Callithrix jacchus: one gene and its partners. The protein of the gene in region 5 binds, or shares a complex with, the protein of the main gene of each other region. Links are inferred from orthologs where the notes say so. Each region holds a gene or a part of one and is shown on either strand. Other genes may lie near its edges. The genes, in order: IPO13, RANGAP1, NUP50, SIRT2, RAN, XPO1 and XPO5.

What was found.
Region 1: the proteins of RAN (region 5) and IPO13 are in contact, whole or in part, in a crystal structure (PDB 3ZJY), measured with the Homo sapiens proteins. The link is inferred for Callithrix jacchus from reciprocal best matches to the Homo sapiens genes RAN and IPO13. Residues at the interface, in NP_006316.1 of Homo sapiens: Lys37, Lys38, Tyr39, Leu43, Gly44, Val45, Val47, Pro49, Trp64, Gly74, Leu75, Arg76, Asp77, Gly78, Tyr79, Ile81, Gln82, Asn103, Arg106, Asp107, Arg110, Val111, Tyr147, Trp163, Arg166; in NP_055467.3 of Homo sapiens: Leu33, Tyr34, Tyr35, Ile39, Lys42, Gln46, Leu49, Met50, Gln53, Glu73, Tyr76, Phe77, Ser80, His83, Ile84, Ile118, Thr121, Arg122, Val125, Val172, Glu175, Glu176, Thr179, Ser414, Asp415, Arg784, Asp785, Pro787, Asp788, Pro829.
Region 2: the proteins of RAN (region 5) and RANGAP1 are in contact, whole or in part, in a cryo-EM structure (PDB 9B62), measured with the Homo sapiens proteins. The link is inferred for Callithrix jacchus from reciprocal best matches to the Homo sapiens genes RAN and RANGAP1. Residues at the interface, in NP_006316.1 of Homo sapiens: Asp18, Gly20, Tyr39, Val40, Ala41, Thr42, Leu43, Gly44, Val45, Glu46, Glu70, Lys71, Leu75, Arg76, Tyr79, Asp91, Thr93, Ser94, Arg95, Val96, Thr97, Asn100, Lys123, Asp128, Arg129, Lys130, Lys132, Lys134; in NP_001265580.1 of Homo sapiens: Ser29, Gly58, Asn59, Thr60, Asp86, Thr89, Gly90, Arg91, Leu92, Arg93, Ile96, Asp121, Ala123, Phe124, Gly125, Asp127, Asn151, Cys152, Gly153, Met154, Gly155, Arg189, Asn190, Arg191, Gln217, Asn244, Asp245, Asn246, Thr247, Asp273.
Region 3: the proteins of RAN (region 5) and NUP50 are in contact, whole or in part, in a crystal structure (PDB 7MO0), measured with the Homo sapiens proteins. The link is inferred for Callithrix jacchus from reciprocal best matches to the Homo sapiens genes RAN and NUP50. Residues at the interface, in NP_006316.1 of Homo sapiens: Arg29, His30, Thr32, Gly33, Glu34, Phe35, Glu36, Phe52, Val124, Asp125, Ile126, Lys127, Ser153, Asn154, Tyr155, Phe157, Glu158, Phe176, Ala178, Pro180, Ala181, Leu182, Ala183, Pro184, Glu186, Val187, Asp190, Pro191, Ala194, Tyr197; in NP_009103.2 of Homo sapiens: Pro344, Pro345, Lys346, Val347, Val352, Lys362, Cys363, Lys364, Phe366, Tyr367, Lys368, Asn371, Glu372, Phe373, Lys374, Glu375, Lys376, Gly377, Ile378, Lys384, Lys390, Gln392, Leu394, Arg396, Thr399, Asn400, Leu401, Asn403, Ile404, Leu405.
Region 4: the proteins of RAN (region 5) and SIRT2 are in contact, whole or in part, in a crystal structure (PDB 5FYQ), measured with the Homo sapiens proteins. The link is inferred for Callithrix jacchus from reciprocal best matches to the Homo sapiens genes RAN and SIRT2. Residues at the interface, in NP_006316.1 of Homo sapiens: Phe35, Glu36, Lys37, Lys38, Tyr39, Val40; in NP_036369.2 of Homo sapiens: Phe96, Arg97, Glu116, Phe119, Gln167, Ile169, His187, Ile232, Val233, Phe234, Phe235, Gly236, Glu237, Ser238, Leu239, Phe244, Gln265, Val266, Gln267, Pro268.
Region 6: the proteins of RAN (region 5) and XPO1 are in contact, whole or in part, in a crystal structure (PDB 7B51), measured with the Homo sapiens proteins. The link is inferred for Callithrix jacchus from reciprocal best matches to the Homo sapiens genes RAN and XPO1. Residues at the interface, in NP_006316.1 of Homo sapiens: Lys12, Lys37, Lys38, Tyr39, Val40, Ala41, Leu43, Gly44, Val45, Val47, Trp64, Glu70, Lys71, Gly74, Leu75, Arg76, Asp77, Gly78, Tyr79, Ile81, Gln82, Val96, Pro102, Asn103, Arg106, Arg110, Val111, Glu113, Val124, Asp125; in NP_003391.1 of Homo sapiens: Leu35, Tyr36, His37, Gln43, Arg44, Gln47, Leu50, Thr51, Lys54, Glu55, Asn74, Tyr77, Tyr78, Gln81, Lys124, Val125, Lys129, Met132, Leu173, Glu176, Glu177, Phe181, Gln185, Lys266, Thr269, Glu270, Asp313, Gln316, Asn317, Gln320.
Region 7: RAN (region 5) and XPO5 share a complex: the UniProt entries of both Homo sapiens proteins name them as parts of the nuclear export receptor complex. The link is inferred for Callithrix jacchus from reciprocal best matches to the Homo sapiens genes RAN and XPO5.

Annotation. Positions count from the first base shown.
Region 1 is NC_133508.1:80,625,571-80,629,070, reverse strand, and holds part of IPO13 (importin-13), read right to left. Parts: coding exon 3,337-3,500; intron 3,117-3,336; coding exon 2,996-3,116; intron 2,910-2,995; coding exon 2,762-2,909; intron 2,189-2,761; coding exon 2,007-2,188; intron 1,924-2,006; coding exon 1,897-1,923; intron 1,702-1,896; coding exon 1,567-1,701; intron 1,419-1,566; coding exon 1,275-1,418; intron 1-1,274. UniProt on the Homo sapiens protein: Functions in nuclear protein import as nuclear transport receptor. Serves as receptor for nuclear localization signals (NLS) in cargo substrates.
Region 2 is NC_133502.1:192,060,824-192,064,323, forward strand, and holds part of RANGAP1 (ran GTPase-activating protein 1), read right to left. Parts: intron 2,872-3,500; coding exon 2,758-2,871; intron 2,358-2,757; coding exon 2,258-2,357; intron 2,172-2,257; coding exon 2,087-2,171; intron 883-2,086; coding exon 699-882; intron 1-698. UniProt on the Homo sapiens protein: GTPase activator for RAN. Converts cytoplasmic GTP-bound RAN to GDP-bound RAN, which is essential for RAN-mediated nuclear import and export. Mediates dissociation of cargo from nuclear export complexes containing XPO1, RAN and RANBP2 after nuclear export.
Region 3 is NC_133502.1:215,221,322-215,224,821, forward strand, and holds part of NUP50 (nuclear pore complex protein Nup50), read left to right. Parts: coding exon 1-627; intron 628-3,041; coding exon 3,042-3,123; intron 3,124-3,500. UniProt on the Homo sapiens protein: Component of the nuclear pore complex that has a direct role in nuclear protein import. Actively displaces NLSs from importin-alpha, and facilitates disassembly of the importin-alpha:beta-cargo complex and importin recycling.
Region 4 is NC_133523.1:34,438,075-34,441,574, reverse strand, and holds part of SIRT2 (NAD-dependent protein deacetylase sirtuin-2), read left to right. Parts: intron 1-2,562; coding exon 2,563-2,692; intron 2,693-3,500. UniProt on the Homo sapiens protein: NAD-dependent protein deacetylase, which deacetylates internal lysines on histone and alpha-tubulin as well as many other proteins such as key transcription factors.
Region 5 is NC_133510.1:134,087,432-134,091,604, reverse strand, and holds the start of RAN (GTP-binding nuclear protein Ran), read right to left. Parts: upstream 2,801-4,173; 5' UTR 2,770-2,800; intron 2,309-2,769; 5' UTR 2,299-2,308; coding exon 2,263-2,298; intron 2,083-2,262; coding exon 1,998-2,082; intron 1,916-1,997; coding exon 1,790-1,915; intron 337-1,789; coding exon 149-336; intron 1-148. UniProt on the Homo sapiens protein: GTPase involved in nucleocytoplasmic transport, participating both to the import and the export from the nucleus of proteins and RNAs. Switches between a cytoplasmic GDP- and a nuclear GTP-bound state by nucleotide exchange and GTP hydrolysis.
Region 6 is NC_133515.1:52,589,317-52,592,816, reverse strand, and holds part of XPO1 (exportin-1), read right to left. Parts: intron 1,996-3,500; 5' UTR 1,990-1,995; coding exon 1,864-1,989; intron 1-1,863. UniProt on the Homo sapiens protein: Mediates the nuclear export of cellular proteins (cargos) bearing a leucine-rich nuclear export signal (NES) and of RNAs.
Region 7 is NC_133505.1:52,009,298-52,012,797, forward strand, and holds part of XPO5 (exportin-5), read right to left. Parts: intron 2,434-3,500; coding exon 2,336-2,433; intron 1,724-2,335; coding exon 1,677-1,723; intron 1,258-1,676; coding exon 1,160-1,257; intron 210-1,159; coding exon 147-209; intron 1-146. UniProt on the Homo sapiens protein: Mediates the nuclear export of proteins bearing a double-stranded RNA binding domain (dsRBD) and double-stranded RNAs (cargos). XPO5 in the nucleus binds cooperatively to the RNA and to the GTPase Ran in its active GTP-bound form.

The DNA of each region.
Region 1 (3,500 bases), on a different chromosome or scaffold from region 5:
AGGACTTGGTAGCAGGGAGGAGGGGAATTCAAACCTATTACCCCAGAATGCATATTGAGGACCCAGTGCATGGGACCCCTGGGGGAAGAAGTGGTTTGCTGAACTCTCTCATGAATGAAAAAGGAGGATATCCTGAATTCTAGGGATTATCTCAAAGGAAGCCTCAAACTGCAAAGCAGAGATATCACAGGTGCTTCGTAAGATTATGAAATCTTTGTAGACTTAAAAAAAAAAATCTCTCCCTTTATATCTCTGCTCTGTAAAACCAAGGCTATGGGCTAGCGCCTGAAGAAGTGGAGATACAATCTCCTCTTAAATAGGCTTGAGGTAGGGAGCCCCAAAGAATGCACAGATGCAGGCAGCTTATGGAGGAGCAGAGAGCAGACTGAGGTCCTGGGAGGCAAGGAAAGGCAGGATGATGTCTACCATATCAAGAATGGGCTCCGTCCGACGACAGTGGCCCAGGTGTGATCTAAAGCCAAGAGGCTAACTGAAACTCGGTTGCAGAGTTAAGCAGAGAGGCCAGGATGCCTATGGCTTCCTTTTCTCCAGGAGAAATCCTGGAGGGAGTTCTGTGAACAATGACCAAAGCAGTCCCTTCTATTTATAAAGACCTTTACAATATGCAAACTACCTACATGTAAGACCACATCTACTATCCAGCACAGTTCTATGAATTAAGTAAGCCAGACATTTCAATGTTCATAGTTTTTAATGAGAAGCTGAGGCTTGCTCCAGATTCAGCAGCTTGTAAAGTGGTCACCCCAAAACCTGTGTCCAGGCTTCTCACAGGACTTATCACACTGCTTTGTGACAATCTGAGCAACTTGAACTTCCTCTACACTGGGAGCAACTTGAAGGCCAGAACTATTACATGCGGAGGATGTAATAAGCATCCTTAGTGCCCACAGGGGACAGTAAATGTTGAAGTAGAAGGCCCTCCAGAGCAGGGCGGGGCGGGGCAGGGGGTTGAACATCACTTAAGGGTTGAAGGATAAAATGTCAATGTCTCTTATGGGGCTGAGGAATTTCAATGACGTCACCCTAATTGGGCTGGGGACAAGGACAACATCACACACAGAGTTGAGTGAGATAATGACATTGCTACCTACAGAGTGAGAGGTAATTATAGGTCATTCATGGAATCAGAGGACCAAACACATCACCCCCATGGGAAAAGGAGAACAATGACAACATTACCCACAGAATTGAAGAGTGACAAAGACATTCCCACAGGTGGGGGTTGGGGGGATGGCAAAGACAATGTCACCCACGGGGTTGGGTCCCTGCGGCACTGGAAGCTTCCGAAGCTCAGGGCCTTCGTGATCATCGTCATGATGACTGATGTCCAGCGTGGTGAAGAGGTTGGAGAGAAGCCCCAAGATGTGGACAATAGCCAGCTTGTTGGAGGGATTGGGCTGCAGGGAGAAGCAAACCAAGCTCCAGATCTCCTAGCCCCAGTTTGGTCCAGATCACTGAGCCCCAACTCTGAGGGCTAGCTCCAACCTCACCCCTCATCAGCCACAGCATCCCAGTACTACTCCCTGGCCCCTAGAGCTCACTCACTATCTCCTCTGCCAGCTTCTCCAGTTGCTGGATATAGGGTGAGATGAGTGAGTGCAGGTTCTTAAGGATCTCCTCCACTTGAAGAGCTGACAGCAGGAAGCCCAGCGCTTGCATCAGCCACATGCACTGGCTTGTCTGTGGGCAGAACATAGATGATCAGTCCTGGCTACATATAGTTGTGGGGTAGGAAGGAAAATAAGCCTCTTGGGTGGAGCTTCCAAAAACAGAGAATAAGGGGTAAGAGGAAGGGGAAGTCAAAAAACAGGATTTCAGGGATAAGAGATTCCCACAAGACCCCCAAGGAGACCCCTAGAAACTTTTGAGCCGCACCTTGTGGATCTGTTTCATCAGCACATCCTGGGGGTAGAAAGAAGGAATGTAGTATCAGCACAGCGCAGAGTGTGCACTGAGGCTCAGCACCATCCAGGGCCCCTGCATACCTGGGACACAGCCACAATGTTGGCAGCATAGGGAGGCAGGTCATACTTGCACTCTCGGCAGATCTTCTTGAGGGTAGACACAGAAGAGACAGAGAGCTCAGGATTACCTAGGGCATGCAGTACCAGGGGCAGAACACTGTTGATCATGACGGGGTGGTCAGCCAGCCATTCAGACAGAGCTCCTGGAGGAAAGAGGAAGACAGGAGGATCTCTGAGGCAGGCCAGGCTGGCTTTGTACCATGCCTCTGAGGCGAGCAGAGTTCCTGGCAGGGTCAAGTTGCAGCCCTAGCACAGAGCACTGCTCCATTCAGAGGACTACATGGGCAAATATGCATGTGCATGCTTAAACAAGAGCCTACAGCAGAGAAGCAGGAAAGGGTTACTCAACAGAGGTCCAGTACTGCTGTTTAACTGACAGTAAATTGTCAGGGTGGAGTAGATGGTGGGGATGGATGCTCTCATGAGGTGTTGCTGCCTTCCAAAGTCTTTTTTTTATCAGGGCTCCTGAACCTGTGTTTACTCTTCTGTCTCCTACTCTTGTTTAGTCTCCCCTGACAGTAAACTAGTCTCACTGAATTGCAGCTCACTGTGCCATCAGATGGACCCCCTAGACCTGCCAGGACAGTCAGTTTGTTACAACACTGTGTGTAGGCATGTGGCTCTCCCATTCTGGATAGGATCCAGCATGCTGGCTGTGGCCAGGGACAGGTGCTGTGGCTCTGGGAATATGGTCATGGGCATGTGCCAGGTCTCACCAATGGTGAACATGACAGTATCTGCCAGCTGCACGTTGCTGATGCTGATCCGCGGGATGAGGCCAATGAGCCCAGGCACCACATCAGAATAGTTGACGTCGATGGTCTCTGCGATGGATTGGAAGCCATAGAGGAGGGCCTCCGTGTGCTGGGGAAAGAGGGTGCCACTGGCTTGGATGAGGAGGAGGGTGTGACAGGTCTGGGAGGGCTGAGGGAATCAGGCTTGGGAGGTACCTGCCAGGAGTAGGGCTCCTCTGAGCTGGTAAGCAAACGACCCAGCTTGTCATAGAGGTTGCTGAGCAGCTCGGCTCCCAACATCTCATAGACATACATGAGCGTGTCTGAGATGTCCACCCTGAGAAGCAGATGAAGGCCTTTTATACTGCCTGGATCCTGCCCCTGAATCCTGCCCCCAAGCCCAGGAGCCTACCCCAGTACCCCCACAACCCTGCAACAATGCCTAGAGAACAGAGAGAGAAGTCCCCAAATTCAGAAAGCCTGGCCTTGGGCCCCTTCCCTCATTGCCTTCATTCTTTATGGACTCCATTTTAGAGGAGTTGGCCTGCTACCATCACCTGTAAATTCGGAACTGCTCCTTCTCGTCTGAGGACCAAAATCCATATTCCTCATCAGAAGGGAACTGGGCCTTGTGCAGAAGCACATCCACCAGCTGGAAGTAGACTGGCCGGTACACCTGCTGGTATACAGCCTGCTTCTCTGCCTCAAAGGACAGAATATC
Region 2 (3,500 bases), on a different chromosome or scaffold from region 5:
ACAGCTGTGCCCATCCCCACACCCAGCACATCCACCCCTCACTCTAGCCCATCTAGGCGCGAAGTCTAGAATTCTTCCTCCCTTCCCACCTATCAACATCACCCAGAGATGCTGGCCCTGGCTGGCTCTTGGTCCAGGAGCCTTTGGGGTCAGGGGGAAGCCACCTACCTAGGACTCAAAAAATCTGCTACAGCCAAGTAGATTCTCGTCATAATATGCAGTACCCGAGAAATGACTAAAGAGATACATGGGGTCTAAAGTAGGTCCCTGTAGAACTACAGTCCACACTGGGTAAGCCCTGCTAAGGTAGCCAGAGAAAAACCTGAACTGGGGCGTACCTATTAGCCAGGTGTGGTGGTGGACACCTATAATCCCAGCTACTTAGGAGGCCAAGGCAGGAGCATCGCTTGAACCCAGGAGGCAGAGGTTGTAAATGTGAGCCGAGATCACACCACTGCACTCCAGCCTCAGTGACAAGAGAGACTCTGCCCCCCCACCCCCCGAAAAAAAAGAAAAAGAAAGAAATATAGGTAACTATCATTACACTGGGACCATTTTCAAGTCAGTATAATGTAATCAAAAAAAAAATGTTTGTGGCTACTATGCTTAGGGAGACACCCCTACCCCACTGTGAAGACGCCTCAGGCTTTCACCTTCTCAGGACCAGGGCTCTGATCATGGCAACGACAGAAACTCACCCCAGTGTTAGGGTCCAGACTCTTCCGTGAGGGCGTGGCTGACTTCTCTCCCTGCACTTGATGCTGAGGCTCTTCCTCTTCCTCCTCCTCTTCTTCTTCCTCCTCTTCCTCATCTTCCTCCTCCTCCTCTTCTGCTTCTTCTTCTTCCTCTTCTCCTTCCTCCTCATCCTCATCCTCGTCATCACTGCAGACAGAGCTGGCTGAAGCATATCCTCTCTACCCAGCAGCCCAGGTTGGCTCCAAGGCCTGGCTCCATCAGCCCAGAGACCTCACCTCAGCCAGGTGGGAGGGAGCCTAGGTGGGGTGGGAGCACCTGCTCCCAGGACAGGGGCAGGTGGATCACCAGGGAAATCCATGCTATGGACACAAAAGAATCAGACCTTGTCCCTGTCCTCAAGGAGCCCCAGGGGAGACAAAAAACAAAGACATTTGTTTTTATTTGTCATACCCAGAGCCCAGGGCTTGGCAGGAACATTCCCCAGGTTGAGATGCCAGGGCAGGGGTACCTACATCCACATGACCTCAGGAAGTTACAGGTATGAGGGAGGAAGAAGAGTAGGGGTGTCCTTGCCCCACAGGAAGGCTAGTCCATTTCCCAGGGACCATTGGACCTGTGAGGTTCAGCCCACCTCCAAGTCCCCAGTTCCCAGCCTCAGCTCAGGGCCTAGCACGGAGGAGACACAACTGAGTATCTGACCCACAAACAAGGCTGACTTGGGGATGAGAGGGGCACAGGGAGCCAGGTGCTGATGGCCCAACTGGACTTGGATCCAGAGGCAGTGGCAGCTCCCCCACCGCACCTTCGCCTCCAGGTGGACTCCCCAGGCCTTAGAATCTCTTCCTTTCTAGAGTCAGTATCTTAAGAACAATCCTGAACGCAGCCCCTTCTGGCAGCCCCCACCTCCCACTCCCATCACTGCCCAGGCCCCACCACATCAGGATGAGATCTGGCCTCAACCCTTCAGAGGCCTCCCGATTCCCCTCGCTCTAGAGGGTGGCTCTACTCAGCCCGTATGAGCTCCTCTTTTGAATGCACAACTCATTCTATCTCTTCTCCATGAGCCAGAAACCCTGACTGTCCCACCCTTATAGACCTGATGCCTAGTGTATAACCCGGCACATAATAGGAGTGCAACCAACCTTTCTGAATAAATACAAGTAGAAACAAATAAAGGGGCATGGTGGTGGTTGCCTATAATCCCAGCTACTTGGGAGGCTGAGGCAGGAGAATCGCTTGAACCTGGGAGATGGAGGTTGCAGTGAGTAGAAATCGTGCCACTGCACTCCAGCCTGGGCAACAGGGCAAGACTCTATCTCAAGGAAAAAAAAAAAGAAACAAAGGAATGGCCTAACCCTGACCTCTGGGGCCACCCACCCTAGTTCCCTACCTGAGGGACGCCAGCACTTTGGCCATATTGAAGCCGTCCAGGACCTCCTGGAGCTGCTCACAGCCTTCTTCTCCCAGGGTGTTGCCTGCTCAAGGGGAGGGAAGAGCAGTCAGCCCGGGGTGCCAGGGCCAGCCTGCCAGACCTGTGCAGAGGACTCCCCCATCCGACTACCGTTCAGGTCCAGCTTCTCCAACTCAGCTTTGTCTGCCATGGCCTCAGCAACAGCCAGGGCAGCGTCCCTCTTGATTTCACAGAATGACAAGTTCAGCTCCTGAAAATAAGAGGAAGGGTTGGAGGGAGGCAGAAACCTGGGCCAGGACACCATGTCCCACTCTAAGCCTCAGTTTCCCCAAGTGAGGATATGGCATATTCTGTCCTCCAGTGCTGTTTCCCAAGGCATAGTGGGCAGGAAGAATAACCCTGCAGCCAACGATGTGCCACACAGTGTGTGTTTACTCAACTATACCACAGTGATGCACACCACCCCCTGCCCACTTTATAAATGAAAAACCATGGCTCTGAGGGGTGTGGAGCTCACACAGCATCACAGGGCATGAAGTGGAGGAGCTGGGATATGGACGCAGGCCCACTTAGCTTCAGACCAGACCCCTGCACCCCCAGTCACCCACCACCCACAGACCCCAGGAGGACGTCAGGGTCTAGGTTGGCACCTTTAGCTTGGGCAGGCCACCACGGATGGCATCTGCAATGGCAACGGCACCCTTGGAGCGCACTAGGCAGTCCCCAAAATTGATCACCTCTACCTGCCGCAAGGTCTTCAAGGTCTGCGAGGGGGAAGTAAGGGTACAGAGAATGAGGGTGCAGGCCACACTCCAGCCCTCAGAAAGCACCATGGTGGCCCCACACAGTCACTTCCCACACCAGCCACCACACACTGTCCTCCTCCCCAAGTCGCCAGCTTTGCCGTCTTCTCCTTGTTGGCCTCTGGGTCCCCCCTTGACCTCACTCCCCATGTTACGGCCACAACTCTTCCTGAGACCAGTCCTGCCCAAGTCTCCAGGCCTTCCACACATAAGCTAATCCCTCTGCCTGAAACATCCACCTCCCACCTTCTGTCCGGAGAAAGACCACTTGTACTGTACCTTAGCCAAAATGTGATCTCTTCCAGGAAGCCTGACCTAAGTCTGATTTGAACTTCCTTCTGACGTGTTCCCAACACCTGCACACATCTCTGCTAACACATAAGCAGCCAGACTAGCCTTCTGTGGGGCCACAGGGTCCTGGCAGCCAAGTATCCACTGCGTTCAGGACCCAGCATTGTCCCCGCCAGCACCTCCCTCCCCTCCTTGAGCTAGGATCTCCTTGAAGGAGGGTCTTTGGCTCAACCCTGTGTGGCTTGCACTTGCTTGGTACAAAGCCAAGCACTAAATGGGGGCTCAAAAAACAGCTGCTG
Region 3 (3,500 bases), on a different chromosome or scaffold from region 5:
AGAAAAAAGTTTCAAATCCCAAAACGAATGGGGACAGTCAGCAGCCCTCCTCCTCTGGCCTTGCTTCCAGTAAAGCTTGTGTCGGGAATGCCTATCACAAGCAGTTGGCTGCCTTGAACTGCTCCGTCCGGGATTGGATAGTGAAGCACGTGAATACAAACCCACTCTGTGATCTGACGCCCATCTTTAAAGACTATGAGAAATATCTAGCAAACATTGAACAGCAGCACGGGGACGGTGGCAGCAATTCTGAAAGTGAATCTAACAAAACGGCGGTTGAAACACAGTCTCTTTCCCTTTTTGGCTCAACAAAATTACAGCAAGAGTCAGTGTTTTTGTTTCATGGCAACAAAACTGAAGATACACCTGAAAAGAAGGTGGAGGTTGCAGCTGAAAAGAAAACGGACCCATCACTAGGAGCAACAAGTGCCTCATTTAACTTCGGCAAGAAAGTTGATAGCTCTGTTGTGGGCTCATTAAGCTCTGTCCCCCTGACTGGATTTTCATTTTCCCCAGGAAACTCCAGTTTACTTGGCAAAGATATTACCCAGAGTAAACCAGTCTCTTCACCATTTCCCGCTAAACCATTGGAGGGCCAAGTAGAAGGTGACAGTAGCGAATGCAAAGGTAAGTACCAGGCTTGTCACTGATTTAGATTTGTGTAAGATTTGTGTTTGAGAAAGATAAAGGCCTGGATTTGGAGGTGATCTGCAGTCACAGTGAGACATCGCCCGCTCCATGTGTGATCTCTGAGTTTCAGATTCCTTATTTTTAAAAGAGTAAGACCTATTTTGTAGGGTTGTTTATAAGGATTAAAAATAATTAAAATGAAATTGAAAACATCTGACCTTGAAAAGTGTCAAACACACGTGGCGTAGCATATAAAAAAGAAGTAAAGACGTTTTTTGAAAATTGTGTTTTGGAAAAGTTCAAGTTCATTATGAATGTCCCCTGAATTGATCTGAACTTAGGAGATTTGACTAAGTAAAGTCACGTGGCAAAACAGTACTTGACTACACAGTAAAAACGTAGACTCTACATAGCTATAGAGAACATATCAACAGTGTTGATTTGTTCATAGCTATAGAGACTTTTCATAGCTACAGAGAACAAATCCTCCTGTGGGTTTGGAGGTACCTCCTTTCCAGAAGACAGCCCCACGTAGTATCTAAGTGGCATCTCCTGTAGGTATTGTCAGTGCCCCAGACCAGGCAAAGGTCTGGGCCTTAATCTGGGCCATTCACTCCCTCTGTTTTTAGCTAAAAAGTGGGGTGATACCATAATACCACATCCTCATACGGTGGTTGTGAACAAATGATGTCTGTGAAGATACCTACTTGTAAGCAATTAAAAGTAAGGCCGGGCGAGGTGGCCCACATCTGTAATCTCAGCACTTTGGGAGGCTGAAGAGGAAAGCTCACCCGAGGCCAGGAGTTTGAAACCAGCCTGGGCAACATAGCAAGACCCCATCTCTACACAAATTTTTAAAAATATACCCAGGCAAGGTGGTGGGTGTCTATAGTCACAGCTGCTCTAGAGGCTGAGGTGGGAGCATCTCTTGAGCTTAGGAGTTCAAGGTTGCAGTGAGCCACAATTGCACCACTGCACTCCAGCCTGGGCAACACAGAAAGACCTTGTCTCAACAAAAGGTGTGCTCCTCAGACATATGAACATTGGTCCTTGAGGAAGAAAACTGCATTTGCCAGTTTGCCACTGAAATGTTTTTCTAGCAGGAGGCTAGACTTACGTTAATGTTTTGCCTTGCCATACTTTCAAGTGTATCCTCAGGCACAGGCCCTCAGGATCAAGGGTGAAGTCAGTGTGTCCCCTTTTACTTCTCTGCCTCCCAGAAATAAAGACACATGGGGAGTCTTTTCCCGAGGCAGGTGCTGGGACAGCGACGCTGGATTTGAATCGAGTCCCAGTGGATGCAGGGTGCCCCTCAGTCCCTTGGTTATCACAGTTTATGCATCAGAAGATGGGAGATTGGAGTGATAAAATGGACAGTCCTATCTAATTTAAATGATGTGATCTAGTCATCTGAGCATCACAGTTTTTTTCTTAGAATTGCTTTTTAGTGACTTTTTATGCAGCTGCCATTCTTTTTAAGAGGATCTTTTATATATGTGGTTTTTTAATTGTTTTGAGATGGTCTCACTCTCACCCAGGCTAGAGCGCAGTGGCACAATCACGGTTCACTGCAGCCTTGACCTCCCAGGCTCAAGTGAGCCTCCCATTTCAGTCTGCCAAGGACCTAGGTTCACAGGGATGCACTGCCACATCCGGTTAACTTCTTTACTTTTCATAGAGATGGTGGGGGCGCTTCTCACCGTGTTGACTGGGCTGGTCTTGAACTCATGGGCTCAAGCGATCTTCCCTCCTTGGCCATGCAGAGTGCTGGGATTACAAACATGAGCCACTGATCCTGGCCTATACATGTGTTTAAATAGTGTTTTGTTTAACTGATGTCCCACATCTCCTGTGTATGGGAGACCCCATTAGTGGGGATACCATTGATACCAGAGCACTGACCCACGTGGCAATTCAGACAAAGCTCAAACTACTTATGTTGGGACTTTGGAATGATTTCTCTGACATCTTGCCCCCTGCTTAAAAAATATATATATTTTTCTGTCTTTGGCCATTATTGATACTGGTTGCGGATATATGGTCACAGGAATATTCAGGGGTGAAGGTGTTAAAATCCCATCTGAGATGTCATTTTCGAGTGGGTAATTTGAATACAGAGTGTTATTTTTCTGTAAATGTCATAAGTATGGAGATTTTTCCATTCTAAGGTTTTCCGTGTACTGGGAGTTATTTTAGCATTAAGTATGTTCCCATTAAAAAGGATGCTTATTTTTCATAAAGTAGTTAAAATCCAGCAGACACTCGCCTCTGCCATCCCCTCATTGGGTGTGCATTTTAGTCTGTTGGTACATGGAGTGCTCAGCTGGAGGTTTAGGGTGTTACATAACAAAACTTGTTACTTTAAGCTCTGGGTTGGAATCTGACTGAATTATTGTCATTTTTTATAAAAGGTGGAGATGAAGAAGAGAGTGATGAGCCACCCAAAGTAGTAGTTACTGAAGTAAAAGAAGACGACGCTTTTTACTCCAAAAAGTAAGAATCACCAGAACCTGCTGGTGCGTGTGTTTTAGAGACATGGTAGTGTGCTTCAGGCTGGAGAACGTCCTCACGGCACTTACCTGAGCATTCAGTCTTGGGGTCAAGCTTTGCCTGCTCTCAAGTGAAATAGGAAAGAATTCTTGGCCAGCTTATTTTTAAAAAGCCAGTTCTAGAAATGTCCTGGTGGGCAAGTCTCACTCTTTTCTGTCGCTTTAGGTCTTTTAAAGTGCTAGAGACAGGCTTTTCCATGATCCTCCCAACTCCATGCTGTCCCATGTTCTCTTCCTTTTTCTCCCTCCCGCTCCTACTCCCCTAACAAAGGAATCTCAGGTCACTGATTGCAGGTTTGGCTTCACTCACTTTACTCTGGA
Region 4 (3,500 bases), on a different chromosome or scaffold from region 5:
TTCATTCTGCCCTTGAAGGGAAACAGACCCTTCCCATTGTTCATGGAGTCTCTGGGAAACTTGTCAGATTGGCCCCGGGCGGCGCTTGACTATACATCTCTGCGTAAAGGTGTCCTCTGTCAGCACCTCCCTTAGCAATGTTCCTCTAAGCCGAATGAAAGCTGCTTCAAAGCAGCTGGGTGTTTTAAGAAAAATTAGGGTGTACAAATGTCTGTGTAGGAAAGAACATTCTCACCTGTTTAATATGGAAAGTATTGCCGGGCACAGTGGCGTGTGTGTCTGTAGTCCCAGCTACTCAGGAGGCTGAGGTGGGAGGATCACTTGAGCCCAGGAGGTCTGGGCTGTAGTGCACTATGCCCATCAGGTGTCTGCACTAAGTTCGGCATCAATATGGTGACCTCCCGGGAGCGGGGGACCATCAGGTTACCTAAGGAGGTGTGAACCAGCCCAGGTCGGAAACGGAGCAGGTCAAAACTCACGTGCTGATCAGTAGTGGGATCCCACCTGTGAATAGCCACTGCACTCCAGCCTGGGTAACATAGCAAGACCCTGTCTCTTAAGAAAAAATAAAAAGAAAAGAAAAAGAATTTGGAAAGTATCACTGTCTTAAAACAGCAGCCAGGCACAGTGGCTCATGCCTGTAATCCCAGCACTTTGGGAGGCCAAGGCAGGCGGATCACCAGGTCAGGAGATTGAGACCATCCTGGCCAACATGGTGAAAGCCCGTCTCTATTGAAAATACAAAACTTAGCTGGGCATGGTGGTGCCTGCCTGTGTTCCCAGCCACTCGGGAGGCTGAGGCAGGAGAATCACTTGAACCTAGGAGGCAGAAGTTGCAGTGAGCCGAGATCACAGCATTGCACTCCAGCCTGGGCAACTAGAGTGAAACTCCATCTCAAAAAAAGAAAAAGAAAAAGGAAACAGTGGCTGGGCATGGTGGCTTGCACTTGTAATCCCAGCACTTTGGGAGGCTGAGGTGGGAGGATCGTTTGAGCCCAGGAGTTCAAGACCAGCCTGGGCAACATAGGGAGACCACCCTGCTGCCCATCTCTACAAAAAAATTAAAAAGATTAAAAAATTAGCCAGGCATGGTGCCATTTGCCTGTAGTTCCAGCTACTCAGTGGGCTGAGGTGGGAGGATGGCCTGAGCCCAGGGGGTGAAGGCTGCAGTAAGCTGTGATCAAACCACTACATTCTATCTGAGTGACAGAGCAAAACCCTGCCTCCAGAAAAAAAGAACATAGGTGACTATGCCATCTACTAAACAGGCCATATTAAGAAAGAACCCTGACTGCTGAAGAGGAAGACAGGGATGAAAGCCACAGAAGGGCCAGGCACAGTAGCTGTAATTCCAGGCACCGTAATCCCAGCAGTTTGGGAGGCTGAGGCAGGAGGTTTGCTTGAGCCCAGGAGTTCTAGACCAGCCTGGGCAACATAGTGAAACCCTATCTTTACAGAAAATTATAAAAATCAGCCAGATGTGGAGGCTGTGGCAGGAGGATCACTTGAGCCCAGGAGTTGGAGGCTGCAGTGAATCATACCACTGCACTACACCCTGGGTGACAGAGTGAGACCTTGTCTCAAAGAAAAACGTGGCCAGGTGTGATGGCTCACCAGAAATTTAGGAGGCTGAGGCAGGTGGATCATGAGATCAGGAGTTCGAGACCAGCCTAGCAAACATGGTAAAACCCCGTCTCTACTAAAAATACAAAAATTAGCCAGTCATGGTGGCGTGTGCCTGCAATCCCAGCTACTTGGGAGGCTGAGGCAGGAAAATCGCTTGAATCTGGGAGTTGGAGGTTTCAGTGAGCTGAGATTGCACCACTGCACTCCAGCCTGGGCGACAGAGTGAGACTCAGTCTCAAAAAAAAAAAAAAAACAAGACCAAGTAAGCCCTCCCGATTCATTTATGTTAATGCTTGCCCAGAGCTGCCACATGTGGCTGTGCAGGGTGCATCCTGCACAAGGATGCCACATCTGTGGGGGCTCCATTTACAACAGAGACATTGTAAATTTTATGTTAATTTCAATAATTTCTGACAGGTGGCAACAAAGCCTCTGGCTCTAACAAAACAACTTTTTTTCTGAAAAATGGGAGCAAATGGCCCGAATTTGCAGAAAAAAATAGCCACATGGGCTGAGTGGTCATGGGCCTGGCCTCACAGACAGTTAGGTTTGGGCCCCCACTCTTTTTTTTTTTTTTTTTGCATTTTTTATTTTTTGTAGAGATGGGATCTTGCTCTGTTGCTCAGACTGGTCTTGAACTCCTGGGCTCAAGTGATCCTCCCACTCGGTCTCCCAAAGTACTGGGATTACAGGCGTGAGCCCAGCCTGGCCCCTACCTTTAAGCAGCCATGACTGTCACTCTTTGAGTAGCACCATTGGGATGAACAGAAGAGTCTTCAGGTGCGACCTTCGACCTGCCACTTGCTTCTCCTCCTTCTCTCCTCCCTCTGTCCCCGCCATCCCACTGCTTCTTGTGGCCTCAACTGCCCATTGTGCCTTCTGGCCTATAAGTAGTGGCTCACTCCTGACCCCTCTTCCCTCCATCTCTCCCTCCAGAACATAGACACCCTGGAGCGAATAGCGGGGTTAGAGCAAGAGGACCTGGTGGAGGCCCACGGCACCTTCTACACGTCGCACTGTGTCAGCCCCAGCTGCCGGCGCGAATACACGCTAAGCTGGATGAAAGGTGAGGCCGGAGGGCATCCTGAGGGCGGGCCTCCCCCCAGCAGCAGGAGCAGGGGCAGGGTCTCCATGCAGTGGGCACCCATTCTTCGAGTCCTGCTTAATGTTGACTGAATTGTAAACACTGTGTGTGGCTTTGACTACCATATTGGACAGTGTGGCAGGACCTATAGCATGAGAAGGTGGACCCAGGCCTGGTGAGGGTGAAGGCTGGGGCCATCCCTAAAGACTGCAGGGCCTGCTAGAGTCAGAATCCCTGTTCATGTAAGGACTGAATATATATATTTTTAAAAAATCAGCCAATCCACATTTCTTAATTGCCAGAGAGAGATGATTTCTGACACCCATTGTGCTCATTCAAAAGCCACTTACTCTGGCGAGGCTCAGTGGCTAACACCTGGAATCCCAGCACTTTGGGAGGCCCTGAGGCGGGTGGATCACCTGAAATCAGGAGTTCGAGACCAGCCTGGCTAACATGGTAAAACCCGTTTCTACTAAAAACGCACTAAAAATTAGCAAGGCATGGTGGCACGCGCCTGTAATCCCAGCTACCTGGGAGGCTGAGGCAGGAGAATCGCTTGAACCTGGGAGATGGAGATTGCAGTGAGCTGAGATTGTGCCACTGCACTCCAGCTTGGGCAACAAGAATAAAATTCCATCTCAAAAAACAAACAAACAAGAAGCCGCTTATTCCACTCATGGAAAGCCATTTCTGACATTCTTTATGCTGATTTAACAAAGCCACTGGTGTCCCTGTTGGATAAGGACAGCTGCAGCATTTGCAGAAGGGCCTCTGGAGTGCGGCTGTTCTG
Region 5 (4,173 bases):
AAACCCCATCTCTATCAGTCTTTAAAAACAATAAAAATAGCATAAAAATAAAATTATTTCCATATATAATATAGACTGGTCAATTTCATGGTCTTACGTATCATCTCCTCTAAGAGAAATAACTCAGGAAGTTTTAATTTTCACACACCTGAAGATTCTTCTTTCGGTGGAAGACAATGGATTTTGCCTTCACTTTCCTGTCCTTAATGTCCACTTTGTTGCCACATAACACGATGGGGATGTTCTCACACACTCGCACCAGATCTCTATGCCAGTTAGGCACGTTCTTGTAAGTAACTCTGGATGTTACATCGAACATTATGATGGCACACTGGGCTGAAAGGAACATTTGTGGTAGTTAGTACACTTAGTTTACTACACACATGAAGAATGCCAAGAACCAGTCTAGGATTCATCTGGTCTTAGACCTCACCGAGTCTCCTAGCTTTCTCCCTTCACTTCCAATTCTAAAAATGTCAATTCGCAATTTCTAAAAATGTTAATTCACAATTCTTCCTAAGCAAGATGAGCTGACCCCGTCAAACCTCCCTGATACACTTCATCATTAACAGTACCCTCATCCCAAAAAGTATCTCGGGTAGATTAATGATAAGTGAGATTCTGCAGAACCGAGCTGCCATATTCTGAGGGTAAGGGGCCTGCAAACACCTTCTTCAGAAGGTCTTTCAATGGCATGGCTGACTATACCAGGAAATATTCCTGTCTTAAATCCAGACAGGCCAAGCGATGTGGCTCATGCCTGTAATCCCAGCACTTTGAGAGGCCGAGGTGGGTGATCACCTGAGCTCATGAGTTCGAGATCAGCATGGGCAACATGATGAATCCCCATCTCTACAAAAAATAAAAATAAAAATAAATAAAATACAAAAATTGGTCAGGTATAGTGGCCTGTGCCTGTAGTCCCAACTACTCAGGAGGCTGAAGTGGGAGGACAGCTTGGCTCAGGAGGCAGAAGCTGCAGTGAACTGAGATCACACCACTGCACTCTGGGCTGGGCCACATAGAGACCCTGTTTCAAAAAATAATAACAAACCCAAATAAAGTCTATATATTCACCTGCAGGGCCAGCTATGGCATAGTTGATAAAGCAAGAATCCACAACTTTTTGGTTAAAAGATTTTTGGGGGGAAATTCTTGTGTTTATTTGTACATACTAAAGGAAAACAAAAGGCATGGAATGATTCCAAATAATTTGTTATCAGCAAAGTGAGGATCCAGGAGAGATGAGTATTTCCTTTACTCCTCTTTTTGGTATAATGAACGTCTTCCTTGCAATTTTAAAAATCAATCTATTTGAGAAAAATACTCTCCGCAACTTAGTACAAACAATGTAACAAGAAATCACCTAGTCTTGCATAACACTTGCTAAGATCCCTATCTTCCCTGGTGTTTTTTAATGGAGTACAAACAATCATTGATCACTACGTCTAAATTCATACCTGAGCCTGTTTTCATATACTGAACTGCTCTAACAGCCTGTCTGTGATTGTTTTAAACTATGACATGTACCCAGTGTAAGTCACAGTTTCTTCTAAACCATGCCTAGCATGACACAGCATGCAAATAACACAACTTGCATAAAATGTTCTCCTCTGCCACCAAAATGGTGGTCAGCTCCCCGAAGCTCACGTTTTTTAACCCAAAAATGACACAGTTCCCCTAACAGTATTAAGCACTGTTTGCCGGAACCGGCCTGATTTTCTATAACCTTGAAGGATGCAGTACACAAAAGCTCTCAGCAACGGTTCAGCAAGTCACGGATGCTTACCTTGGATATAGTAGCCATCTCTCAGTCCGCCGAATTTCTCCTGGCCGGCCGTGTCCCACACATTGAACTTAATAGGTCCTCTGTTAGTGTGGAACACCAGGGGATGAACCTCAACACCCAAGGTGGCTGCGACGGAAGCGATGCCAGTGAGTGGGCGCATTGACCCGTTTCCCACCCGTGTCCGCGAACAAGGTGCTCCCGCACATACCTACATACTTCTTCTCAAATTCACCAGTCAGATGACGTTTCACGAAGGTCGTTTTTCCGGTACCACCGTCACCAACCAATACAAGCTGTTGGAGAACACATTTTGGAAGTAAACCCAGAACACTTCACCTCTCCGGATCCCAGAGTCCGCCACGCCAAGAACGCGGACGCGGGGCCCGGCTAACAGCCATCGTGGGCCCGGGAGGAGGGACCGCGAGGCGCACGCGGGCCGGCCCGGCCGCCGCCCGCCCCGCAGGGTTACCTACTTTAAACTGGACCTGGGGCTCTCCCTGCGCAGCCATCGCGGCGTTCCTGCGGAGGCAGAGGACGGAGACGAGCGCTCGCGCGGCCCCGCAGCCCATGGCGGCCCCGCTCCCGCGCCCCCCGCGCCCCACGTGCCCGCCCCACAAAGGCCTCCCGCCCGCGGCGCCATGGCGGCCGGGCCTGGGAGCGGGAAGGCGGCGGGCGGGGCCGGCATCCGGGGCAGCGGGACCCAAGGAACGACGGACGGGGGGGCCGGGATGGAGACGAGACTGGGACCGGGAGCGGGATGGGAGCGCGGGATGGAACCGGGATTCGCGGGGGCGGGCGCCGACCCCACGCCCGTTTCTTCCCCCGGCCCGGCCCGGCCCGCGCCACCCACCTACTCACAGCCGCTCGCTGCCCCGGGGCCGGCCACCAGCCCGGGCCCTGACCCCGGCCGCGGCCCCTGTCCCGCCGCCACGGCCCCTGTCCCCCCCACCCCGGCCCTGCCCGGCCAGCCGCGTCGTTACCTTCCAGAAGCGTCTCCGCGCCCGTCCGACTGAGGCTGGAAAGATGGCGGAAGCGCAATTCAAACGCCTGAGACGCAGCCGACGCCGGCGCGCGGCAGGGGCGGGGCAGGCGCGGGGCGGGGCTGACAAGGGGCGGAGCAACGGTCCGGTGCCCGCCCACGTGGACCGCGCGTGCGCGCACGCACGCAACCCGGCTCGGTGGAGCGCAGGGTGGGGCGGTAGGCGCGGTGGACCGCGTGGGAGGACGAGGCGGGAGCGCGCACGCACGCCGACCCGCGGGCCCCATGTGCGCCAACACTCAGGGCGGGCTCCCGGGCACGCATGCGCCACTGGTGAGGCGGCGCGCTCCTGGCCGGGAGATGCTGGGCGCGGCGGGACAGGCGCGGCCCTGCGGCCTCCCCGGCGGGAGGCGGGATTCGCTCGGGCAGACGCGGTCAGGCACGCGGCTTCCAGGCGCTGGCCAGCCTGTCGTTGTCTGCGCCCCGTGGAGTGAGGGTACTTGGGGTCTTTGGGGCATAGGCCGGCGCAGGACCGGTAGGTGACAGAACGAATGAATGAATGAATGGGTCCTAGGCCGGTCCCCCAGGGTCAGCCCGCGCCTTTGTCTCCCCAGAGCTTAGCCTTCACGCCCCCAGGCCCAGGGACAGTTGGAGAGCGAGGCATCAGAGAGGGATGCGCCCACCCAGAAACACGGGTGCTTATTTCTTTTGAGACGGAGTCCCGCTGTATGGCCCAGGCTGGTCTGGAACTGCCAGGCTCACGCAGTCTTCCCGTCTCGGCCTCCGAGTAGCTGGGACTACAAGCGCGCGCTACATCCGGGCTGATTTTGTTTGTCTTAATTGAGACACAGGATCTCACTGTGTCTCCCAGTCTGGCCTCAAGGGATCCGCCCTCTTCGGCGTCCCAAGGCGCTGGGATTGCAGATGCAGTCACCGCGCCCGGCCATAGCACCCCTTCTCGGAGCGTTTCATAGGTCGGCAGCCATGGCGGCCGCATCCTACAAACAAAACGATGAAATTTCGTTTGCGGTGTGGGCGGGTCTTCCAGCCGTAGTTACCCTCGGGGGCGGAATGAGGAAGTGCCCAAGCTCCCGGCCCCCTGTGGAGCTGAAGCTGTGAAGAGCCTAGGCCAGGTTGAGCTAGAGGGACCCCGACCCACGGGTCCTTCCTGGGCGCCCCTGCTGACATGCAGACAGATAAAGGCCCAAATCAGCGCAGTCAAGCACCTCAGAAAAGAGTTCCCCGTGGGGAAAGAGCCCCAGGGACCCAGGGGTCCGCCCAGCAGTCACGAGCACACTTGCAGGCGAGTCCGCTGGGAACCCCAGTGACGCAAAGTGCGCACAAGGCGCGCGAGAACCGGCCAGCTGGAAACGCAAGTCCAGGGACCCTCGGGAACGCCAGCCAC
Region 6 (3,500 bases), on a different chromosome or scaffold from region 5:
TATGTTGGTTTATTTATTAGATCCTTTAGATGTTGTGAACTACCTTAGTGCCAAGATTAAACAGTATTGGCAGCTGAATATATATGGAAAAAATTAAGTGCCCTTTTTCCCAATGGCTACAGACCCGTGTTTCCAATAATATATTCAAAGTTGAACCCAACCTTAATTTCACAGTTTCCTCCAAAAGCAGCTGCTTTCTATGCATCCATGCTAGAAGAAATGAAGCTTAAAACTTCATGTTGAGGCCTATAATCCCAGTACTATGGGAGGCTGAGGCGGGTGGATCATGAGTTCAAGAGATCAAGACCATCCTGGGTCAACAAGGTGAAACCCCGTCTCTACTAAAAATACAAAAAAACTAGTTGCGCATGGTGGTGCGCACCTGTAGTCCCAGCTACTCAGGAGGCTGAGGCAGGAGAATTGCTTGAACCCAGAAGGTGGAGGTTGCGGTGAGCTGAGATCGTGCCATTGCTCTCCAGTCTGGGTAACAACAGCGAAACTCCATCTCAAAAAAAAAAAAAAAACAAAACTTCATGTTGAATGCATAGCCTGAGGAACAACTAAATGACAGGGATAATAAATACTGATGGACAATTTTTCAAGAATGCTTTTGGAGATAACATACTGATTAAAAGCCCCTGGGAGGCCGGGCACAGTGGTTCACGCCTGTAATCCCAGCACTTTGGGAGGTGGAGGCATGTGGATCCCGAGGCCAGGAGATGGAGACCATCCTGGCCAACAAGATGAAATCCGGTCTCTACTAAAATACAAAAAATGAGCAGAGCAGGGCATAGTGGTGCACGCCTGTAGTACCAGCTACTCAGGAGGCTGAGGTAAGGGATTGCTTGAACCTGGGAGGCAAAGGTTGCAGTGAGCCAAGATCAGGCTACTGCACTCCAGCCTGGCAACAAAGCAAGACTCCATCTCAAAAAAAAAAAGAAAAAAAATTTCTGACCCAACTGAAGAACTTTTTACTCATTCAAAAAACTGTTTGGGCCAGGCGCAGTGGTCCATGTCTGTAATCCCAGCACTTTGGGAGGATGAGGTGGGTGATCACCTAAGGTCAGCAATTCAAGACCAGCCTGGCCAACATGGTAAAACTCTGTCTCTACTAAAAACACAAAAATTAGCCAGGCATGGTGGCGTGCACCTGTAATCCCAGCTATTAGGGAGGCTGCGGCAAGAGAATCGCTTGAATGCAAAGGTTTTAGGGAGCCAAGACAGCACCACTGCACTCCTGCCTGGGCCACAGGGCAAGACTCTGTCTCAAAAAAGTTTGGTCCTATGGGTAAAAAAAAAAAAGTCAAGGTTTTTTTCTTGTAACACAATTTAAAATTTTATATACATTTCTGTTTCACCTTTTAATTGGGTTCAAAAAGGCCAAAAACCTTAAACTGATCAAAACACGGTTTATGTTTAAGATAATTCTTCTCTACATTAACAGTTACTTAGAAAGTGCACAAATTTCAACTAACATAAAAATACTTGGTATTCCTGGTTTTTTTAAACAAACATATCTGTGAAATACTTCTGTAAATGTTTCCAAAGCAAAAGAATCATGTAGCTCCAAACATATTAAGTATATATAAAAATACAGAGAACCTTTAATACCTACAAAGTATTTATTAATAACATTCAGCTCTTAAGGACAAAACAAGCATAATATTTCAAAACAACCCACTCTAACAATGTCAAACATTATGCTATTTCTTTCTCCAAACCAATTATCATTATGGTTAATATATAATTCCAAATTAATGTAAACTATGGAATATCTTTTTTAAAAATTATAAAATTTTATTCTAAACCCAACAACTCTGTTACACTGTCATTACGTTATAAAGATTTGGTTGGCTACTTTACCTGGGCTCCTTCTCCATGGTATAAGCAATTCACCACATTATCTAATAAGTTGATATCCAGTTTTTGGCTGAAATCGAGCAGCTGGCGAGCTGCATGGTCTGCTAACATTGTCATAATTGCTGGCATAGATTACTGAAAATAAAGGAAAAAAAATTGAAGCTGCCTATAAAGTTTTGGTATTATCAAAAACTTTCTACAAGTTATTTTACTTCAATCATGTTATTCCAAATATTTTAATGAATACTTTAGAGACTTATTATTATTACAAAAAAACTGCGATAGTAAAATCAAGTAACAAAAGTTGAAATTACTTAACTACTTGATAATTACATAAGTTATTATGATCCATTCAACTTTTTCAGAGTTTATACACCAGATTTTCCTATCCTACTAACATGTATAAAGTATGATAACCTATTATTTAAATTCATCCACTATTAGGACTGTATGGCCCTAAAAAGTGATACAGTTCAGTATCTTGATGTCAAAACTTTTTCAGCAAGTATGATTATTAAGTTCCAGTGAATGAGATTTTCTTTTCTTCCCAAGTAGGGGCTTCTGGATAACTCAGTAAAAGCTCACTTCACATTACAGTAACTTTAAAGATATGCTATAAAGACAGAATGGGCTGGGCACGGTGCTCACGTCTATAATCCCAGCACTTTGGGAGGCCGAGGCAGGCTGCTCACCTGAGGTCAAGAGTTCAAGGCCAGCCTGGCTAACATGGCAAAACCCCATCTCTACTAAAAATACAAAAATTAGCCAGGCATGGAGGCAGGCGCCTGTAATCCCTGCCTCAATTCCGCCACTGCACTCCAGTGGTAGTATTAGACTCCATCTCAAAAACCAACAAAGAAAAAAGACAGATGTTAAAAATTAAATTAGGATATACAGTAATTCCTATTGTATACAGCAATGGTTAGCAAAAACACAAGTCTTACATATCTTGGTAAAAATTCCCTTAACCTTTACAGAAATAACTTAGTTTCTACACTCAAAACATTCAAATTGTTTCAACCCTCAATGAATTGGGGGATTGTAATTACATTTACAAACATATTTACTGAACATACGATCTGGGGAAAAAAAAAAACTTTATAGCAATATGCCAAGCAAGATTTTTTAAATTCCAGGTATTCCTCAGCAAGGTAAAACCTCTAAAAGCTTGCCCATTTCCAGATAAAAAAGAATTCTAACAGAAAAATGAGCTACTTCGCCCAAATAAGTACTGGTTAAAACCTGCTAGTTCATATGCAGTGTTATCCATTTAAGAGGATTCTACTCTAAGATGCTGGCACACATCCACTTTTTTGTTACCCAGAATTATTAAAAGTATTTTTCCTCTGCTTTTCTTTGAAGCCAATGCCACTCAAACCTGACTGGTTAAGCCAGTAGCCCTTAACCTTTTTGGGGGTCGAAGATGCCTGAGACTCTGAGGAACCAACAGTTCTAACCCAGTTTTTAAAAACTCGCTATTTTGTATACAACTACAGAGGATTCGGGACATCCTGAAAGCCATCCATGGCACCCCCGGTTTAGTGTATTTCGAACTAACAAGGTCAGATCTCCACTTCTTCCCATTTTAGGAACTTCCGTGGACCAGAAAATGAGTGGCCAATTTCTTTACATTATACTTG
Region 7 (3,500 bases), on a different chromosome or scaffold from region 5:
AGGCACAGAGCAAGAGGGCTAGTCCAGAGATAACAACTAGATGTAGGATGTCTCCTCCTCACCAGACTGCGAAGAAACTGACCTGATTCAGAAGGAACAATATCAGGAGGCTAAGAGTAGACCTCCAAGGTCTCAGGCTCACTTACCATCTCCATCTGCTGGGGGAGCACTACTGTGGTCAGCACCCTTCTTTGAAACACAGCAAACCGCTAAGGCAAGAAAGCAAGGTTACTAGGTCAAGGGAGGGTATATACTACCACAACAGCCACTTCAGGCCCACTGATCCCAACCTGTCTCTGGCCAGGTGAGGAGGGAAGATGATGGGGATACTGTGTAAGGCATAAAAATCAGCTTCACCAATAGGAATAGAGGCATTCTGATGACCAGACTGTTTTGGTCCTTCAAGTTCAATTAGCTGGGAGAAAATTACAGAATTCTCTGAGAGTGATTAGGAAAGGATGCTTGATACATCCTTGGTCTACTTTGAATCTTTTTTTTTTTTTGAGACGGAGTTTCGCTGTTGTTACCCAGACTGGAGTGCAATGGCATGATCTCGGCTCACCACAACCTCCGCCTCCTGGGTTCAAGCCATTCTCCTGCCTCAGCCTCCCGAGTAGCTGGGACTACAGGCGCACACCACCATGCCCAGCTAATTTTTGTATTTTTAGTAGAGATGGGGTTTCACTTGTTGACCAGGATGGTCTCGATCTCTTGACCTTGTGATCCACCCGCCTTGGCCTCCCAAAGTGCTGGGATTATAGGCGTGAGCCACCGCACCCGGCCTGGTCTACTTTGAATCTTAAACAAACAAAATGACACAGTAAAAATAAAAAGCAAATTAACAGCCTCCATGTCCAAGAATTTAAAGTTCCTCTATTTTGACAAAACTAGGAAGTTATTCCTAATGAATCCAAATTCCTTCTGCTATTTTAGATTGTTTACCCATATTCTGGCCTTGGTACAATTCAGCTTGCAATTCATAAAGTGTCCTTGGGTTGACCAAGGACTGCCTTGCTTCTATCCAGTTATTCTTTAGGGTCTGACAGTGTTGTTGCAAACATGAATCTTTGCATCAGTCAGGGCTTCATGGGGTTGGCTTAGCGACCAGCTCTTCTTCCAGAAAAATTCTCCATAGCCCTGATTTCCACATGCCACTTACTGATTAGGTCCATGACTTCTCGAGTTAACATCCTCACCAGTTGTTCCTCCAGCATCTCTTGAGACTCTGGGTTTTCATCTGCAGCCTCATCTTCTCCACTGCAGAAAACCAGGGGGCTAAGTTCCATAGGAGTGCAGAAAGGGAAGGACAAGTAAAGCAGGGCCCTAGCCGGACTCTCTGTGACCAATTTCTTCTCCTTTGGGTTAACATTCTATGCACAAGTTGGGAATGGACAGCAGTGATCCACTGAGGACACTATTACTAGTGACTCTGTGCAGTTGAATAGACATTACAGAATCAAAATAAGTAAGGTAACAGTAGCCCCTATGAAGGCTGGATCTCAGAGTCTGCCTGCTGGTCACAGGCTGTCCAGATAAGCCATCTATCACCTAAGCTGAGAATGACTATAAGCTACTGCTCTTCTAGCTCTGAGACAGCAGAATCCCTGCCCCCTTTCTTTCCTAATCCCAAACCTGGCTGCCAGCTCATTCACCAAGAAGGGGTGGGTATCCCTTACCACAGCAGGCTCCTCTGGTTGATAACTTGCCATTTCTGAGAAAGCCTCTGGGAAAACACAAAGGAAATAAATGCTAGAATTGGGGAGAGGATTGGAACACATAATATCTAAAGTCAAGTCCACTTCATGATTAAAATTAGCCAAGGATGAGTCTAGGCATCAGTGACAGCCTCTGTAGACTCCACACCACAAAGTTAAAAAAGCCATCTATGGTTTCTGTAACCTCTCCCATGTCCAAGATAAGGGTGGTATATCAAACACCTCTTTGCTTGGAAAGAATTAAAATAACATTTTTAGAATCCTTGGGTCTCTAGACATACCTGTTCTCCACCCAGCTGGTCCCCCTGCTTAATTCCAGAGTCAGGGTAACAGACCCAGCATCCCTGGCAAGGGTCTGTGAACAAGCATTCCTCTTTTTACCTCTCCTCAGTTAACAGGTTAGGAACAGAATCTGCATCTGAAGCTGCCTTGTGGCAATTAAATCAGTTTACTTCTTTGGGGCTTGCTCAATCCTACAGCAAGGATAGTATGCTAGGGTAGAAGCTCTGCCCAGCCAGTCTGGCAGGGCTAGGGGACAACCCTTCTAGGAGCTCCTGACTTACAAGGCTCAAAAATGGCCACAGACCTTCTTTGTTTCCTGTTCCTGACTTATCTCTTACCATATGGAGGTAGGTGAAAAGAGGTCCGAGGATAGGGGATACCAGGGCTTCATAGTGCTCGGGGGGACAGAAGAGCACCAGAGGCTTTACAAAGACCCGTGCTGCAGCAAATTAAGGAATTTTAGTGTATAAGCCCATGCCCTCACCTGCCAGGTGCTGGCTATACCCCTGGGCAGAATCAATCCCTAAAGGGTTTGCCAGATGTCAAAAATATCCTATGCAAATAGTGAAAAATCTTCAAGTTCCTTTTCTAAAATCCTAAACAGTATGAAATCCTCAATTTCATTATATTAGTTTAGCTGTACTTTCATCAGGCTGCACATTATGGTCACTGGGTTGCCTGAAAGTTGGAAGAAAAAAATAGGAAGGAGGATATCCTTGTAACAAACTCTCCTTCATTATTCTCCTTATAATTTCAGGTAAAAAAGACAGAGTCTCAACTAAATAAGGGTCTGAATAAGAAGTACGAAATTGCTTCTTCTGGCTGGTTGTGGTGACTCAGGCCTGTAACTCTAGCACATCAGAGGCTGAGGCAGGAGAACTCCTTGAGCCCAGGAGTTTGAGACCAGTCTTGGGAACATAATGCAGATCCCATCTCTACAAATAATAATAAATAGCCAGGTGTGGTGGTGTGCATCTGTGGTCCAGTCCAAGCTATTCAGGAAGCTGAGGTCACTTGAGCCTACAGGTGAGCTTTAATAGCACTACTGCAATCCAGCCTGGGTAACAGTGAGACCCTGTCTCAGAAAACAAACAAACAAACAAAAAGCAAGTGTTTTCTAAAAACACAGAAAAGGGGTAAAAGTTTTATCTTTCATGGCTGAGCATGGTGGTTCATGCCTGTAATCCCAATACTTTCGGAGGCTGAAGCAGGCAAATTGCTTGAGGTCAGGTGATTGAGACCAGCCTGGCTAACATGGCAAAATCCTGTCTCTACTAAAAATACAAATATTAGGTTGGCCGTGGTGGCTCACACCTATAACCCCAGTACTTTGGGAGGCCGAGGTGGGCAGATCACTTGAGGTCAGGAGTTCGACCTCATGTGCTCAGCCTGGCCAACATGGTGAAAACTGCTCTTCTAAGAACACAAAAAAGTTAGCTGGGTGTAGTGGCATGCGCCTGTAATCCCAGCTACTTGGGAGGCTGAGGCACAAGAAGCGCTTGA